Linked DNA regions of Tamandua tetradactyla. The protein of the gene in region 2 binds, or shares a complex with, the protein of the main gene of each other region. Links are inferred from orthologs where the notes say so. Each region holds a gene or a part of one and is shown on either strand. Other genes may lie near its edges.

Region 1 (7,596 bases), on a different chromosome or scaffold from region 2:
TACCTAAAAAAAAACCAAAAACCAAATGTTATCAAATATCCAGTCTGTTTAAATTTCCTGTGTTTAAAAAAATTTTTTTTCATACTTTGTTTGGCTCAGGAGCAAACAAAGTTAACACATTGCAATTGTTTAAATATTTTTTTAAGGCTGTTATCTATGGGCCCCCCTCCATTTTATACTTTTTTCCTTTGCAAATATTGGTTGAAGAAATGGAGTTTGTCCTTTAGCTGTCATGGTCTAGATTTTTCTGCTTGCGCCTCCATGGTATAGTTCAACATGTCCCTCTGTGTCTTCTGAATTTCCTATAAATTGATAGTTGGATCTTGAGGTTTCATCAGATTCAGGTTTGATTATTTTGAGTAGGAGTATGCCATAGATGATGTTTTATTATCTGTTGCATAACAAATCGCCCCTAAAACTTAGAGGCTTGAAACACCAATTAACATTTGTAATATTGCACAATGTATGGGAGTGGTGTAGTTGGATGGTTCTGATTCAGGGATTCATGAGGTTACAGTCAAGATGTCAGCTGGTGGTAGTGTATTCTAAAGGCTTCTGTGCTGATTTGAAAGTATTATGTACCTCAGAAAAGCCATGTTTTTATCCTGATCCTATCTTGTGGGAGCAACTGTTTCTTTTAATCCTCATTCAATATCATAGGTTGGAAATTACTGATTAAATTGTCTCCACAGAGATATGAAACACCTCACTGTGGATGTGATCTTTTGATTAGATGGAGGTGTGATTCCACCCATTCCAGATGGGTCTTGATTAGTTTACTAGGATCCTTTAAAAGAGGAAACATTTTGGAGAGAGTTAGAAATGACAGAGCCAACAGAAACTTCAGAGCAGAGCTGACACAGATGCTGACACTTAGAGAACAGAAACACAGATGTTTGGAGATGCTTGGAGCCTAGCAGACATTGCCATGAGATGTTAGGCAAGCCAGAACCTGGAGAGAGCCAAGGGAAGCCAAGAGGTGAAATCCAGCCCTGGAGAAGCAAACTGAGGAAATTGCCCCAGAACAGAGGCTGAGAGCAACGGAGTTCAAGGGCAAGGGACCAGCCGATGCCAGCCACATGACTTCCCAGCTGATAGAGCTGTTCCAGACCCACTGGCCTTCCTTAAATTAAGGTATCTTTCCATGGATACCCTAGTTTGGACACATTTATAGGCTTAGAACTGTAAATTTGTAACTTATTAAATTCTCCTTAAAAAAAAACTGTTCCAGTTCTGGTATATTGCATTCCAGCAGCTTACAAACTAACACAGCTTCCAAGGTGGCTCACTCACATGACTGATGAGTTGGTGTTGCATTTTTTTCTCTTAAAAAGGGAATTTATTAAGTTACAAGTTTAAAGTTCTAAGGTCGTAAATATGTCCAAACTAAGGCATCCAGAGAAAGATACCTTGACTCAAGAAAGATTGATGTCAGTCACATGGGAAGGCACATGGCTGGCATTTGCTGGTCCTTGTTCCTGGTTCCAGATTCTGATGCCAGTGGTTTCCTTTCTAAGCATCTGTGGGCCTTCATTTAGCTCCTCTGGGACACAACTCTGGGTTCTGGCTTGCTTTGCATCTCATGAGAAGGCACATGATGATGTCTGTTGGGCTCTGCATCTTTAAACGTACATGTGTAGGCACTGCTCTTTCTATTGTCCCTCCAAGTATCTCCAAATGTCTGTGTCTCTGTCAGCTCTGAAGCAACTCTGGTGTTGGTTTTGGCAGGAAGCCTCAGTTTCTCATCATATGGTCTCTTTGTGGTGCTGCTTGCTTTTCTCAGAGCAAGAGATCCAAGAGAAAGCAAGGTGAAATCCACAGTCTGTTTTGTCCTAGTCTTAGAAGTCATACAGTGTCACTACACAATATTGTATTAGTAACCAAGCCAGACTTATTCATTGTGAGAGGTAACTAGTCGAAGATGTGAGCCCCAGAAAGTAAGGCTCTTTGGGAGCTGTCTTAGAGCGGGTTACTGCTGTTCTTTCATCAAGAGCTATAGAATATCTTTTTTGTCTCTTTCTTTATGATGCTCGATGTCATGATCCTTTAATTCATTAGGTCTTGCTTCAAAATGGTTATCTTCAATTCCACTGACATTTGTTACCTGGAATATTTCTATAAATAGAAAAGAACAGGAAAGTAAAAGAAACATGTCCCTCTAATATTTTGTTACTCAGTAGTTCAGTTTATATAAAAAAGTTATGATACATGTTTATTTCGCCTTACACTATGGACTGCATTGTGTCTCTTAAAAGGATGTGTTCAAGACCTGTCTCTGGTCCTGTGAATGTGATCCTATTGGAAATAGGACCTTCAAAGGTGTTACTAGTTAGAATGAGTCCAAATTGGATTGGGATGGATCCTGATTTAATAGGATCCTTATAAGGAGAGGTAGTTTAGACATGGTAGGAACAGGTGAGGCAGAGAATGAGTTATACCACACATTGTTGGCAAGTCACTACCAGAACTCTGCAGACTCAGAATGTATTGTCCTGCCAACATTATTATTTCAGACTTCTAACCTCCAAAATTGTGAGAAAAAATTGCTGTTGTTTTAAGTCATCCAGTTTGTTGTACTTTGTTATGGCAGCTCTATAAGACATTTAATTTTCCAGTTTTCAAAATAGAATTGGTTCCCAAGCATCTTCTGATAATGACAGATTAGATTGTATATATATGAACTCATGAATTTAAATATATTTAATGCATTTCAATTCACTGGAGTTACTATCTTATAAATACTCATATAGTCCCATGGTAATAGGTTCAATAATCGCCTCCAAAATGTTCACCGTCTAATCCCCAAAACCTATGAATATGTTACCTTCCATGATCTGCTGGTTTGAAACTGTTGTGTACCCCAGAAAAGCCATATTCTTTAATCTTGACTCAATATTGTTGGGTGGGATCTTTTTAAGTTGTCTCCATGGGGATGTGACCCACCCAATTGTAGGTGGGACCTTTTGATTAGGTTGTTTCCATAGAGTTGTGTCTCACCATTCAAGGTGGGTCTTAATCCGCCTACTGGAGTCATTTAAAGAGGGAACCATTTTGAAAAAAGCTTTAGAGCTGACACAGAGAGAGACTTTTGGAGGTGCAGAAAGAAAATGCCCCTGGGGAAGTCGTTTGAAGTGAGAAGCTGGGAGAGAAAACTAGCAGACAGAGAAGGCTAGGAGATGTCACCATGTGCCTTCCCAGCTGACAGAGGTGTTCCAATTATCTGTCTCTGGATTGGTTTGAACATTTTTCTGGTCTTAGAACTGTAAACTTGTAACTTAAAAAATTCCCTTTATAAAAGCCAACACATGTCAGGTACATTGCATTCCAGCAGCTTTACAAACTAATACACATGGCAGAAGGAACTTTGCAAATTTGATTAAGGGTCTTGCAAAGTAGAGATTATCCTGGGTGGGTCTGATATAATCAGAGGGTCTTTAGGAGAGGGACGTGGGAGATCAGAGGAGATGGTACTGTGATGACAGAAGCAGAGTTTGCAGTGATACTCTTTGAAGATGGAGGGAGGACCACAAGCCAAGGACTATAGGTGGTCATTGGAAGCTGTAAATCAAGGAAGTGGAATCACCTCTCTGAGCCTCCAGGAGGAATCAGTCCTACCAACACTGACTTGAGCCCAGTGAAACTGACTTTGGATTTCTGGCCTCCAGAACTGTAAAAGAATATATTTGTGTTGTTTGAAGCCACTGTTTCAGGTAATTTATTACAGCATACCCAGGATGCTAATGCATTCATCTTTGTTCAGCGGGACCCTCTTCAAATTGGCTATTTAATATAAGATATTCCAGGCTTGTCTTATACATTTTCTGCCTCAGACCTGGAGTCAGCAATTTCTCCAAGTAGGAAATGGTATTTTAGATGGAAATAGTATTTTGAGACTCCAGTCTGGGCCCTAGAGGTAGTCATGGGCTTTTGCATTTTTAGAAATGCGGAAAGAAGTGCAGCTCTATAGTAAAACGTTTTGCCACAGCATATGATTATCTCCCTCTAAACAGATTTTTAGACCCATGCCATGTTTGGCTATCACCCCCCAAACTATATCCTATAAAGTTTCAAAGAATCTAGAGAATGAACTCTTTTTCTAAAACGGAGTGGGATTTTTGAAATGAAATATCTATCAGATACAAAATAATGGCCATTTCATTTTTAGGGCTCAAAATATTCTCTTGTGCTGGGGTTTGCTGTAGCTAAGAAAATTCTCGAGCCTGGTGGGGTAGAGGACTGATAAGTGTTCCATGATTAGGGGCCTTACCCAGGTCTGCTCTGCCCTGTGGCTGAACCTGTTACTGAGCAGAAGTCATTTCCAATAGACTGTATTCAATTTTGCTCTATAGGTCCAGCTTCTTGGGCCAGGAGAAATTGCTGTGTAAAGAGCTCACGGGAGAGAATAGCAATGCCAGATGGAAAAGGGACCAATAGTTTACTACTGGCTGGGAAGTGTTTGTTTTTAAAGCTCTGGTCACTCTCACTGGCATCAAGTGTTCAAAAAGAATAATCATAAATCATTTTCCTCTCTCTCTTTGCAGGAAGTGCTCAAATATTAAAGACACACACACAAAAAAGAGGAAATAGTTGGCTAGGAACTCAGAAATCATGTGACCGATGACTGAGTTAAACCTTTTTCACTTACTGAAAGGGAAGAGCCTGATGATTAGTTACTAATCTTCATTGTATTTTTAAAATTTCGGAGAGATTTAATCATGTTCCCATTTATGCTTTTTTCCACTCTGTTTCTTTCTATATTTACTGAACCCAGGAAGGAACACTGGATCTGCAACTCCTCCGATGCAAGTATTCGGTACACCTACTGTGGTAAGTAAAACAGCAACAGCAAACCTTATTCTGGCCATCACTAGGTCACAGGGAACTGTGTATTCCAGCTGCTGCTGCTGCAGCTATTGCAGGCAGGAAAATTGTTGGCTGGCAATGGCCCTGCGTGGACCTACTCGACCCCCTGCAAAGTTTAGGACTCTCTACACTGTGTTGTGTTTGACCTCCAGATGTTTCTGTGGTTCTCTTTGTCAACTGTCTCTAGTCTGAATCCACTTTCAGATTCTTCTCCTTTTTAGAACTATTTGTTTCCTAGCTTTTGAGCCAGCCCCAGGACATACTGGTTCTTAAGGAAGTAGGACAGTCTTAGCTGCCTGCTGGAGTGGATTTCTGCTCTGGGCTGTGAGTTTTAGGACTCCTGGAATCCTACCCCTATTTGGATATAAACCTGGTTCTGTCTGTTAATAGCTGTGTGGCTTTGAGCCAAGTGCTTAGCCTCTCTATGCCCCAGTTTTCTTATTTATAAAATGAGAGTGGTTTCCAAAATACCTTACCAGGATTTTTGTGAGGTGAAATTTTAGCACAGTGCCACATGGAAACTGTGCTAAATATTTTTGTTTTTTAAATCAACCATACCCTAGTACTATTAGCTGGTAGTATCATTGTCTTCTCCTGGTCCAAAGATACTTTCAGGGCCTGACGGGGTTTGGTTTGGCGCTTTCTACTGTGTTGCTTATCATGGGTTGCTTGAACTTATTTATGCCCACTTAATTAGATTATGAAGATTTAAACTTCCCCCAGTACTAATTCTTTGAGATTTCCTTTGGAAAAAAGGATCCATGGTCTAATCTTTGGGGAGAGATTTACAAATATACTTTGAGTTTGGAGAAGTTCTTCAGTAAAGAATTCTGTTTAACCCAAATGTGTTAAAAATGTATTTTAATTAATTAATTAGCTAATTAATTAATTTTTAATGTGTGTTGACTGTCCTACAAACATACTCTGAGAAATGCCAGTATAGAGTTAATTGCCCAGGTGTGAAAATAAGACTTAGGTATGTGACCAGTCACATACTTGGGGCTTTATCCCTATTTGTGGGTTGTGTGAATTCCCTCTCAACTGATCTGTGGAATCTCTCCATTTTTCAAGATCAATCTCCACTCTCCATTTCCCAGGAAGGCTCCTGGGTCCATACAGGCCCCAATTTTCTCTTTTCCTCTGGCTCACCTTTACCACCTGTTGATGACATCATTTGCTCTGTGTTACATTGTTCCTTTAACTTTTATTCATATAACATTTTGTGCTAGTTTGAAACTGTTCCATATTCCAGAAAAGCCACGTCCTTTAATCCTGAATCAACATTGTAGGGTGGAAACCTTTTTGATTAGATGTCTCCACAGAGATGTGAGGTTCCCAGCTATGGGCATGACTTTCTGACGAGATTATCTCCATGAAGCTGTAAAGTGCCCAGTTGTGGGTGTGGCCTTTTGGTTAGATAGAGATGTGACTCCGCCCATTCAGAGTGGGTTTTAATTAGTTTACTGGCATCCTTTAAAAGAGGAAACATTTTGGAGAAAACACAGAGCCAATGCAGATGCTTTGAAAACAGTTGCTTCAGAGCTGACAGAGCCAACACAAGAACCAGACGCTTGGAGTTGCAGGGCCCAGCAGACGTTCCCATGTGCCTTTCTGTAAGATACTAAGCAAGCCAGAACTCAGAGTTGTGTCCTGGAAGAACTAAGAAAAGGCCCACCAAAGCCGAGTAAGGAACTCCCACAGGAAACAGAGGCTGAAAGCAGTGGAGCCCAGGAGCAAGGGACCAGCAGATGCCAGCTACGTGTCTTCTCAACTGACAGAGGTGTTCCCGATGGCATCATCCCTTCTTGAGTGAAGGTAACCTCTTATTGGTGCCTTAGTTAGGACATTTTCTTGGCACCAGAACTGTAAGCTTGTAACTTAATAAATTCCCTTTGTAAAAGCTGTTCCATTTCTGGTATACTGTATTCCAGCACCTTAACAAACTAAAACACACTTCGTATTATTTTTTGCTTTTAATCTTTCAGTAATGCTATGTCATGATATTGTAATTGTCTTTTGAGTTGAATTCCCAAAGAAGATCTTACGTCCCTCTAATGCCGAGAAATTCTGTGGTTCTTGCCTTCAGCCCCTCTGATGTAAGGATGGTGGGCAGCATGTGAAATATACATCACTACCTTATCACGCCCTTCCCCACCTGAAAGAATCCATTCTGGCTGAGCCAGAAATGCCTCAGGTGTGGGAAACACGGAATCTTATAGGTACTCTGTGAGGTTGTTGGTGACAACAGCAACTGCTGATTCAGTTCTAGATGAGGATAATTTCCATGCAGAAGGACAGGTAAATTTCCATTTGACCAAGTTACTAGGCATATACAGAAATGGGAAGACTTAGCTATTTTTTTTCTTCCAGCTTTGGAAAAGGCAGAAAATGTGGGTAAGTGAGTCAGTCCACAGGATCCTGGCACAAACCCTCCTGTTATCCAGGGTAGTCAAACTTGGTTCTAACCTTTCTATACTGCAGATAGTCCAGGAACTCAAGGAGTTAATGGTTAATTATGTAAACCAGTATTTACTGGGCACCAAGCACTTACCTGTTTAGGCACTAAAGAGTCGGCAATGAACAAGAAAGAGAACAGTTCCTGCTCTCATGGAGCTCATCTCAGTAAAATATTCAGCATGTCAGATGGTGGTAAGTGCTGTGACAGAAAAATAAAGCTGGGGAGGGACATAGAAGGTACAGAGATTGACAGGATGATTGTTGATTTTTAGGATG
Region 2 (7,534 bases):
GTAGTTGTGCCTAAGAGTTACTTCCTGAGGACTTCTTTTGTTGCTTAGATGTGGCCTCTTTCTAAGCCCACCTCTGCAATTCAAATGTTACTATCCCCCCATGTTTGACATGACATTCGGTATGAAGCATGGCAATGTGGGATATAACAACCAGGGATGAACCTGGCCTGGCACCATGTCAAAAGGGGGAAAATAATTGTAACAACATAAAGTATCTGTGACTGAGAGAGTTCAAATAGTGTCGAGAGGCTATTCTGGAGGCCACTTTTACACAAGCTTCTGCTAGATATTGCTATTTACCGTGGTTTGCCAAACTCCAACCAAACCCATTCTCGCAAACCCTAAAGAACACCATGAGCTCTATAAGAGATTCTACAAAAGTTCCACACACTAGGATTGTTTTCTAGCAACCTCCAACCTCCAAATGAGTTCCTAGGCAAGATAAGTCCTGAAACCCAGAGAGGCCAGCCTCTCCAGAACATCAGCTAGTTCCATTCCCCTATCCCATATTATTGACAACCTTTCCAATATGAAAAAGTTAGAATGGGCATAGTCCAAATACCCCTAAAGATTTGGAGAAAGACCACAAGAAAAGGAGGAGTTAAAACAGAGAAGATAAGACCTAATAGATAAGTATGACTGCTGAATCATTATATTGATATCTCTTTTAGTCTCCAATGTCTTGGAGCAGCTAGAAGGAAAAACCTAAAGTTGTGTAACTAACCATACAAAACTCTGAAATCTGTTCTATAACTACTTGGTACAATGTACTTTGGAATTTATTGCTTTTTTGTGTATATGTTATATTTTATAATTAAAAAAATTTAATATCACCTCCCACTCTTCATCTCTATTATTTTCCTTCTGTTTTCCCCTAATGGACCTTAACACCTTCTTACATACTATCTAATGTATTTACTTATAGTTGTCATTGGCTCACTGATCATTAGAACATACGCTCCATGTAATAGGTGTCTGCTTTCTTTACTGCGTATGTTAATAATGTTAATAATATATGTTAAAATGTTTATGTATTAATAATGAGTTAAGTAAGGTGTACAACTAAGAAACTATTATGCCATTAACTAAATGGGATGATTAAATATTTTAAATTATAGTTCTCTTTATATTACACTTTTCTGGGGTTTGAATGGACAAGTAGGAATTTACTGGAGATTTAGAGGAATAAAGAGGAAGAAGAAAGAGAGAAGAGTTTGCCTCAAGTTCCTGAGTAAAGGAGGCGATGAGGATTTTTTTTACCCAGGAAAGGTGGAGTGTTTACTACAAGAACTTTCTTCTTAATGCACTTGCTTTGACTTGGTGCTCTCCATGTTGCTTAAATTGGGGCATGAGCATCACAAGGGGATATATGCAAGTAGAAAAGTGTAAGAGAAGTCCAAGAATAATCACTGATCATCTTATAAGAGAGTCAAGTTACTCAATACGGAAAGTTGGCAAAGACTTTAAAATATTCACTGTATTTCAAAAACAAGTTATAATACATTGTTTGTTGATTTACTTATCAACTACTTACTGAGTACTTAGGTATGGACTCAGTAAATGTAAACATTGAACAAGGCTCCTGTTCTCTTGGAGTTTATATCTTATTGGGAGAATCAAACAGAACTGATACGAAAATTCAAATTAATTTAAAAATAACATGAGAGATGTTATAGGCATTCAAGCTGGGGAGGAGAAATATTTTGGGCTGTTTGCACCAAGAACTCCCGTGAAGGTGCACTCACTGCTTCGCCTACTAGTGGTATTTGGGAAGAGGCTATTGAGACATACAGGTCAGAACTTAACGTGAGGACCCAGTTGTAGGAGCAGGAAAAACACCACCTGCTAGCGAGAGAATACTGCTTAAGAGAAGCATTTTCTGTACCGTACAACACAGGAGCATTACTCGACAGCACACTAATGGATCCTGAATTTTTAATGGCTGTCCAATTGTAAAAGAAAGGTGCATGGGTCAAAAAAGTTGGAGAACATTAAGTACATTATACTCCTTTGTAGATGCAAAATACACACTAATAAAGTTTCTGAGCATTTCTTAGAAAATAAAATTTCTTTTTCTCTGTTTATCCCATTGCTTCCTTTATTTAATTGAAGAGAAGCTTGTTCTTATTTCTCTTTGTGATAAACCCTACATCACTGAATCTAAGATAACATTGATTATAAGAGCTATCATTTTTATTGGCCACCAAGAAAGAAAAAAGAAAAGCCTGTTAATTATAATTGTAATATATTGTCATTTAGGAGACACATATTGATTTGAGAGCTGTTGACATGTGAAAAGATGTGGAACTGAGAGTTACTGGATGGAATTGGGTTTGATTCTTAGATATACAAAATGAAGGGAGCCTTTCTTCCCTGAGCTGGGCTACACTGTTCATTATTATTATTTTGTTTTAATCACTCTGAGTGGGAATTACTGGATTTCAAGGTTATGGCACAGATATCCTACTGACCACTCAAGTTTTTGTTCCCCTTCCATAGTATAGAATCGGTGCTTCCAAGTAGTGATCACAAGCATCTATGAGAGTGTGTTTTGTGTGTGTATTTGTGTGTGTGCATGTGAGTTTTAGATAGAGACAAGAAGCTTAAAGTCAGGTAATCAAGAGCCCTGACAACTAGTTGTGGTCTTGGGACTAGCTCTGGTCAATGGAATGAGAGCAGAGGTGATGTATGTCACTTCTGAGCAGAGGTAGGTAAGTATCTGAGTGTCTTTCCTGTGTTCTTTTCACTCTTCCTAGCAACCTTAGAGATGATATGTTGAATATGACAGCATAATGAGATAGAAAGAGCCCGAATCCATGAGCCATTCTTGGAGTGCCTCCAATCAGGAACATCCTCATTGAACATTTCATGAGCAGGAAATAAACTTTTATTGTGTTAAGTCCCTGAAATTTGGAAGTTGATACAATAATTAACCTATCCTAACACAGACCAAAATGTTTTTTTCTTTCTTTATTTCTTAATGAATGAAGTGCCTGCCAAATAATATCAAGCACTTCTTCCAGGTGTCTGGTGAGGATAAGATTCCTCAGTTGATTAAATGAAACACACTAGTGTCTCCTAAATAGATGTCTAGAGGAGAGGCGAGGAGACTTAAGGCCTAGGCAATGCATAGTCTCATAATATTAATAAGGCATGAGATAATTATATTTGCATTTTATAAAGACCTAAAGTTCTCTTTGATTTGAAGAAATGAGTTCAGATCCTGAGATATTAGTCAAAAGTGTATCACACCAGCGTAGAACATAAGATATGTTCAATGGTAATGATTATGGAAATGAAGACTGGGTTTCTTGAAATATTTTACGGATAAAATCTCTAGGATTTGCTAGAATGTTTGGGTAGGCAATGATGAAGTCAGAGGAGAAAAAAAACAAAGACATATCTGTATTGGATGACTGTGGGAATGAAATGCCATTAGCTTTTTAGGGAATGAAACTTTATTGAGCACCTACTTTGTGTCAGAAGCTGCGCTAAGAATTTTACATAAATAATCTCATTTCATCCTTAAAGCAAAGTTTTGATGGGGGACTCTTTTTTTTTGAATTTTACAGGAATGTTGAAGGAGTTAAAATATTGTGATCAATCCACTATCACATCCTTTCTTGCAGCTTGATTTTAGACATGATGGATTTGAGATGCCTGCAGGACATCTCAGTAGAAATATCTGGGACACAATACCAGTAATAATCCTCATTTTAAATTATGTTCTTCTTCAATAGTTACATTGCACTTGCTATATGTTAGGCACAGTTCTAAGAGCGTTAGAAATACTAGCAGCTTGTTAAATTCCATGGTAACCCTGTGAGGTACATACCTTCTGAGCATCTGAGTGTCTTTCCCAGGCTGTTTTCACTCTTTCCAGCAACCTTAGATGCAATGTTGAATGCATATTTTATTCATCATAATAGATGCCACTTATGGAATGCAATGATAAACCATGTACCAGGCCTGACATTTTATGTAAGAGAACCCAATTCAATCACGCCAGGCAAATGATATTATTTCCATTCGAAAGACCAGAAAACCAAGGCTTGTTAGTTTGCGTATCCTGACTATTCTCACATGGCTTTATTTTTATTGATTTCATGAATATAAGCTTCTGTTAGTATTAAACACTATTATTTCCATTTTAAGACTCAGTAGTTTAACTGAGCACATGACCATAAAGTCAGCCAGCCTGGATTTGAAATTCAATGCCCTTGGTTATGAATAACGAGTTTCCTCCAATATTTTATACTTTCCCCCCCAGTGTTCTTTTTCTAGTATTTTTTCAATGCACTTATAGTTTCGAAGCTGTGTTTCACTAGAGCTTAATTTTAGTTTCCTAATGCTGAGTTTCTACACCAGATTTCATTGAATAGTAAGTTTCCACTACTAGAACAAAATGTGAAAACCACTGTCCTTGATAGGACAGTGTTTGACCCGAGTCTGATTGTTTTCCTAAGTTCATCAAGCCCGGAGGTCAGATGACTTCCTGGGATGAGAGCCAGCTTCCTCTTGCTATTGCTTCAGCCCCTGCCCTGCATGCTTTTTCTTTCTCCTTCTTCAAACTTCCCCTCCTGTGACAGGGGAGATAAATATCAGAAAAACAGAAGTCTAGAATGCTAAGACTGCCACTCTCACTTCCTTTTAACTCTTGCCCCGTGCTGCTTTGAATAGAGTAAGTCGTTGCTGTGGGGCACAGAATTGAGGAGAGGAGGCACCAGTGCCTCGGAGACTGCACTGTCACTAGTTACAGCACAATCATGCTTTCACAGGGCCACCGCTGGCCCTGGAAAATGCCAGGATGATGCCTCCTTGGCACCTGGCTGGGACGCTGATACCAGCCATGGCCTTCCTCTCCTGTCTGCGACCCGAGAGCTGGGATCCCTGCGTGGAGGTATGTGGCTGCGGTCGGCATATCTCCTTTGAGCTCTGCCTTGCTTCTGAAAAACTGCTCTCTGCCCAGAACTTCCCACTGTGTACCCTAGTTAGTTTCTACTGCAAAAAGGAGTCATTTTATCTTAAAGACCCAAGAAACTACAGGGGTCAAATAAGAAACTGTTACAGATCACCAAAAGGGAGTGGATGGCACATGCTGCACTCAGGATTCTGAGTGCTAACAGGGACTGTAGGTCAGGTAGATCTGCTTAAGATTACGGTTCTAATAGTTCCTGGCTGTGTGACCTGAAGCAAGTTATTAAGCCTCTCTGAGACTAGTTTTCATACATATAGAAGAACTACAATTATACCTACTTTAATAGAGAGCTGCTTTGATGTTATTTCCTTTCTGCTGGTGGTTTGTACACTCAGCTTCTAGGAGTCACTCTGCCTCTTTTGATGGCAGGGAGAAGATGACGTTTTTGTCTCTCAATAGAAAGAAATTTCAAGGCAGATTTCAGATTTCTGAAACCAGTCATAAAGTTCTGTCCAAAGGATGAAAAATAATGAAAGAACATGGAAAAGAGGAAAAAGTAAAAAGAGAGAGAGGTGTAAAATGTTAGCAAATCAGGGGTGAAGCACCATTCTTTGTGAAACTGGCTGGTTTGTAATCTCATTCATGATGGGTCTTGTTTCTCCCCTGCCTGCGTGGACTTCACAGTGGCTTTGGAAGCCTGTAGCCCAATGGAACAGGCATAGAGATGCAAGAGCAGCACAGGCAGCCAGAGTCCTGAAGTTGGGGACAGAGGGGAAAATAGATAACTTTAATACGTAGCAAGGACTAATTCACCACCTGAAAGACCCCCATGCACTTCCCACAGCCCTACTCCTTGCTTTTTTCCATGTTGTTAGGCTGATGGAGGCAGATCTCCCAGGCAGTGTCACTGTGGGAAAGTCACGCACCACTCGTAGCTCCTTCCTCTTCCCCATGTCTTGTTTTCTGTTAGTCGCCAAAGCCTGTCCATCTCTGACCATGCCCTGTGTGCCACACTAGTGCAGGCTCTCAGTTTCTCTGGCCTTGACTTTGTGATCGTGACTGTTTTCTATCACTAAGGAGGGTGATAGTGAGTCCATAGTCCCCTTCCTTAAATCCATTCTATACATCTTTGTTTATATGTGTATTTAGCTTTTGCTTTATTCCTGAAGCTATTGGCTCTAACAAATTACTTTCTCTTCCTTAAAAACTTTCAATAACTCCCCATTGCTGTTTGAAGAGTTTCCCACTGCAGGGCATTTGCCCTAGCTATTTCTCCTAACTGGAACGCTTTTCTCCTAGGTCAGTGCTGTTTAGTGACAATATTGTGTAAGTCACATATGTGATTTTAAATTTTCTAGTGGGCAAATTTAAAAGTTAAAAACAAAACAAGTGACACCAAATTTAATGACATTTCTATTTAATTTGATATAGTAAAAATATTTCAACATGTAATGGCATAAAATATTAATAAGACACTTCAGTTTTTTGTTACCAAGTCTTTGAAATATAGTGCAATTTTACATTTACAACATATTTCAGATGTCTATACCATCCGTATTTCTGATGCATAATAGGCATGTGTGGCTAGGGGCTACCATATTGGAAAACACATACCTAGACAATTGCATGGATTAATCCCTGACTTTATTAAGATCTCTGCTGAGTTATCTCCTTTTCACGGACGTCTTCCCTGATATCTCTGTTTAATAGAGTCCATATTTGCCTCTAGTCACCTTATTTTTCTCCATATCACATCAATACATATTTTTGTTTGTGTGTTTATCATTTGTCTTCCCGTTTGGAATAGAACCTCTAAGAGGGAAGGGTTATTGCTGGTTTTATGTATTGCTATATTTCTAGTGCCCGACATCTGATAGATGATCAATTGTTATTTGCTAAATAATTAAAAGAAATTGACCATAGGATAAAGTTTGTGTTTGAGGCCATCCTCTCCTGGCTCTAACCCGCCCCCCCCCACCCGTCGACTTACCACTCTCCTGCCCCCACTCATCAGCCAGCCTGAATTAGTCTCTATCCCTTCCTTGCTCACACCGCTCTCTACCTGTGACATGTCTTCCTTCTCCTTTCCATACATCCACGTCTTACTCATCGTTTAAGACCCACTTTGAGATCTTCTCTCTAGAAAACCTTCTATGATCCCTGCATCCAGAATTGAGCTCTATTTTCTCTGAACCAGAGAACATATTTTTCCAAGTCTGTTTTATGGCCCTGTTGGACAGAGTTCTGTTCCTGTCCTAACTCTTTAGACTGGGAACTCTATAGCAGATAGTAGAAAATGCCTACCATTTGTACTTACACAGAGCTTCATTCACTCAGTTATTTATTCATTGATCCTACAAATATGTAAGTGAGTATCAACTATTTGACAGCCACCATTCGAAATGCTGGCCGTACAGCAGAGAGCAAGATCATCAAAATGTGCAATCTAGAATGGGAGATGGAAACAAATATGGAACTATATGTACAATATTATGTCAGGTGGCACTACGGCTTGTGAAGGAGATATAGCCACGGCATGATCTGTGAGGCTCCCCTGAGGGGGTAACATTTAAGCAGATGGATGAATGAAGTTCAGAACTGCCACATATGACCTAC

What was found. The genes of interacting proteins can lie anywhere in the genome.
Region 1: the proteins of TLR4 (region 2) and LY96 are in contact, whole or in part, in a crystal structure (PDB 4G8A), measured with the Homo sapiens proteins. The link is inferred for Tamandua tetradactyla from reciprocal best matches to the Homo sapiens genes TLR4 and LY96. Residues at the interface, in NP_612564.1 of Homo sapiens: Gln39, Met41, Glu42, Asp60, Ser62, Phe63, Asp84, Ser86, Arg87, Thr110, Gly111, Val132, Val134, Glu135, Asn156, His159, Ser183, Ser184, Asp209, Leu212, Arg234, Val259, Glu262, Phe263, Arg264, Asn265, Glu266, Arg289, Ala291, Tyr292; in NP_056179.4 of Homo sapiens: Met40, Tyr42, Ile66, Pro67, Arg68, Arg96, Ser98, Asp99, Asp100, Asp101, Tyr102, Ser103, Phe104, Arg106, Leu108, Lys109, Gly110, Glu111, Thr112, Thr115, Thr116, Ile117.

Annotation. Positions count from the first base shown.
Region 1 is NC_135332.1:117,803,094-117,810,689, forward strand, and holds the start of LY96 (lymphocyte antigen 96), read left to right. Parts: upstream 1-4,594; 5' UTR 4,595-4,715; coding exon 4,716-4,827; intron 4,828-7,596. UniProt on the Homo sapiens protein: Binds bacterial lipopolysaccharide (LPS). Cooperates with TLR4 in the innate immune response to bacterial lipopolysaccharide (LPS), and with TLR2 in the response to cell wall components from Gram-positive and Gram-negative bacteria.
Region 2 is NC_135328.1:39,947,170-39,954,703, reverse strand, and holds the start of TLR4 (toll-like receptor 4), read left to right. Parts: upstream 1-4,532; 5' UTR 4,533-4,807; coding exon 4,808-4,900; intron 4,901-7,534.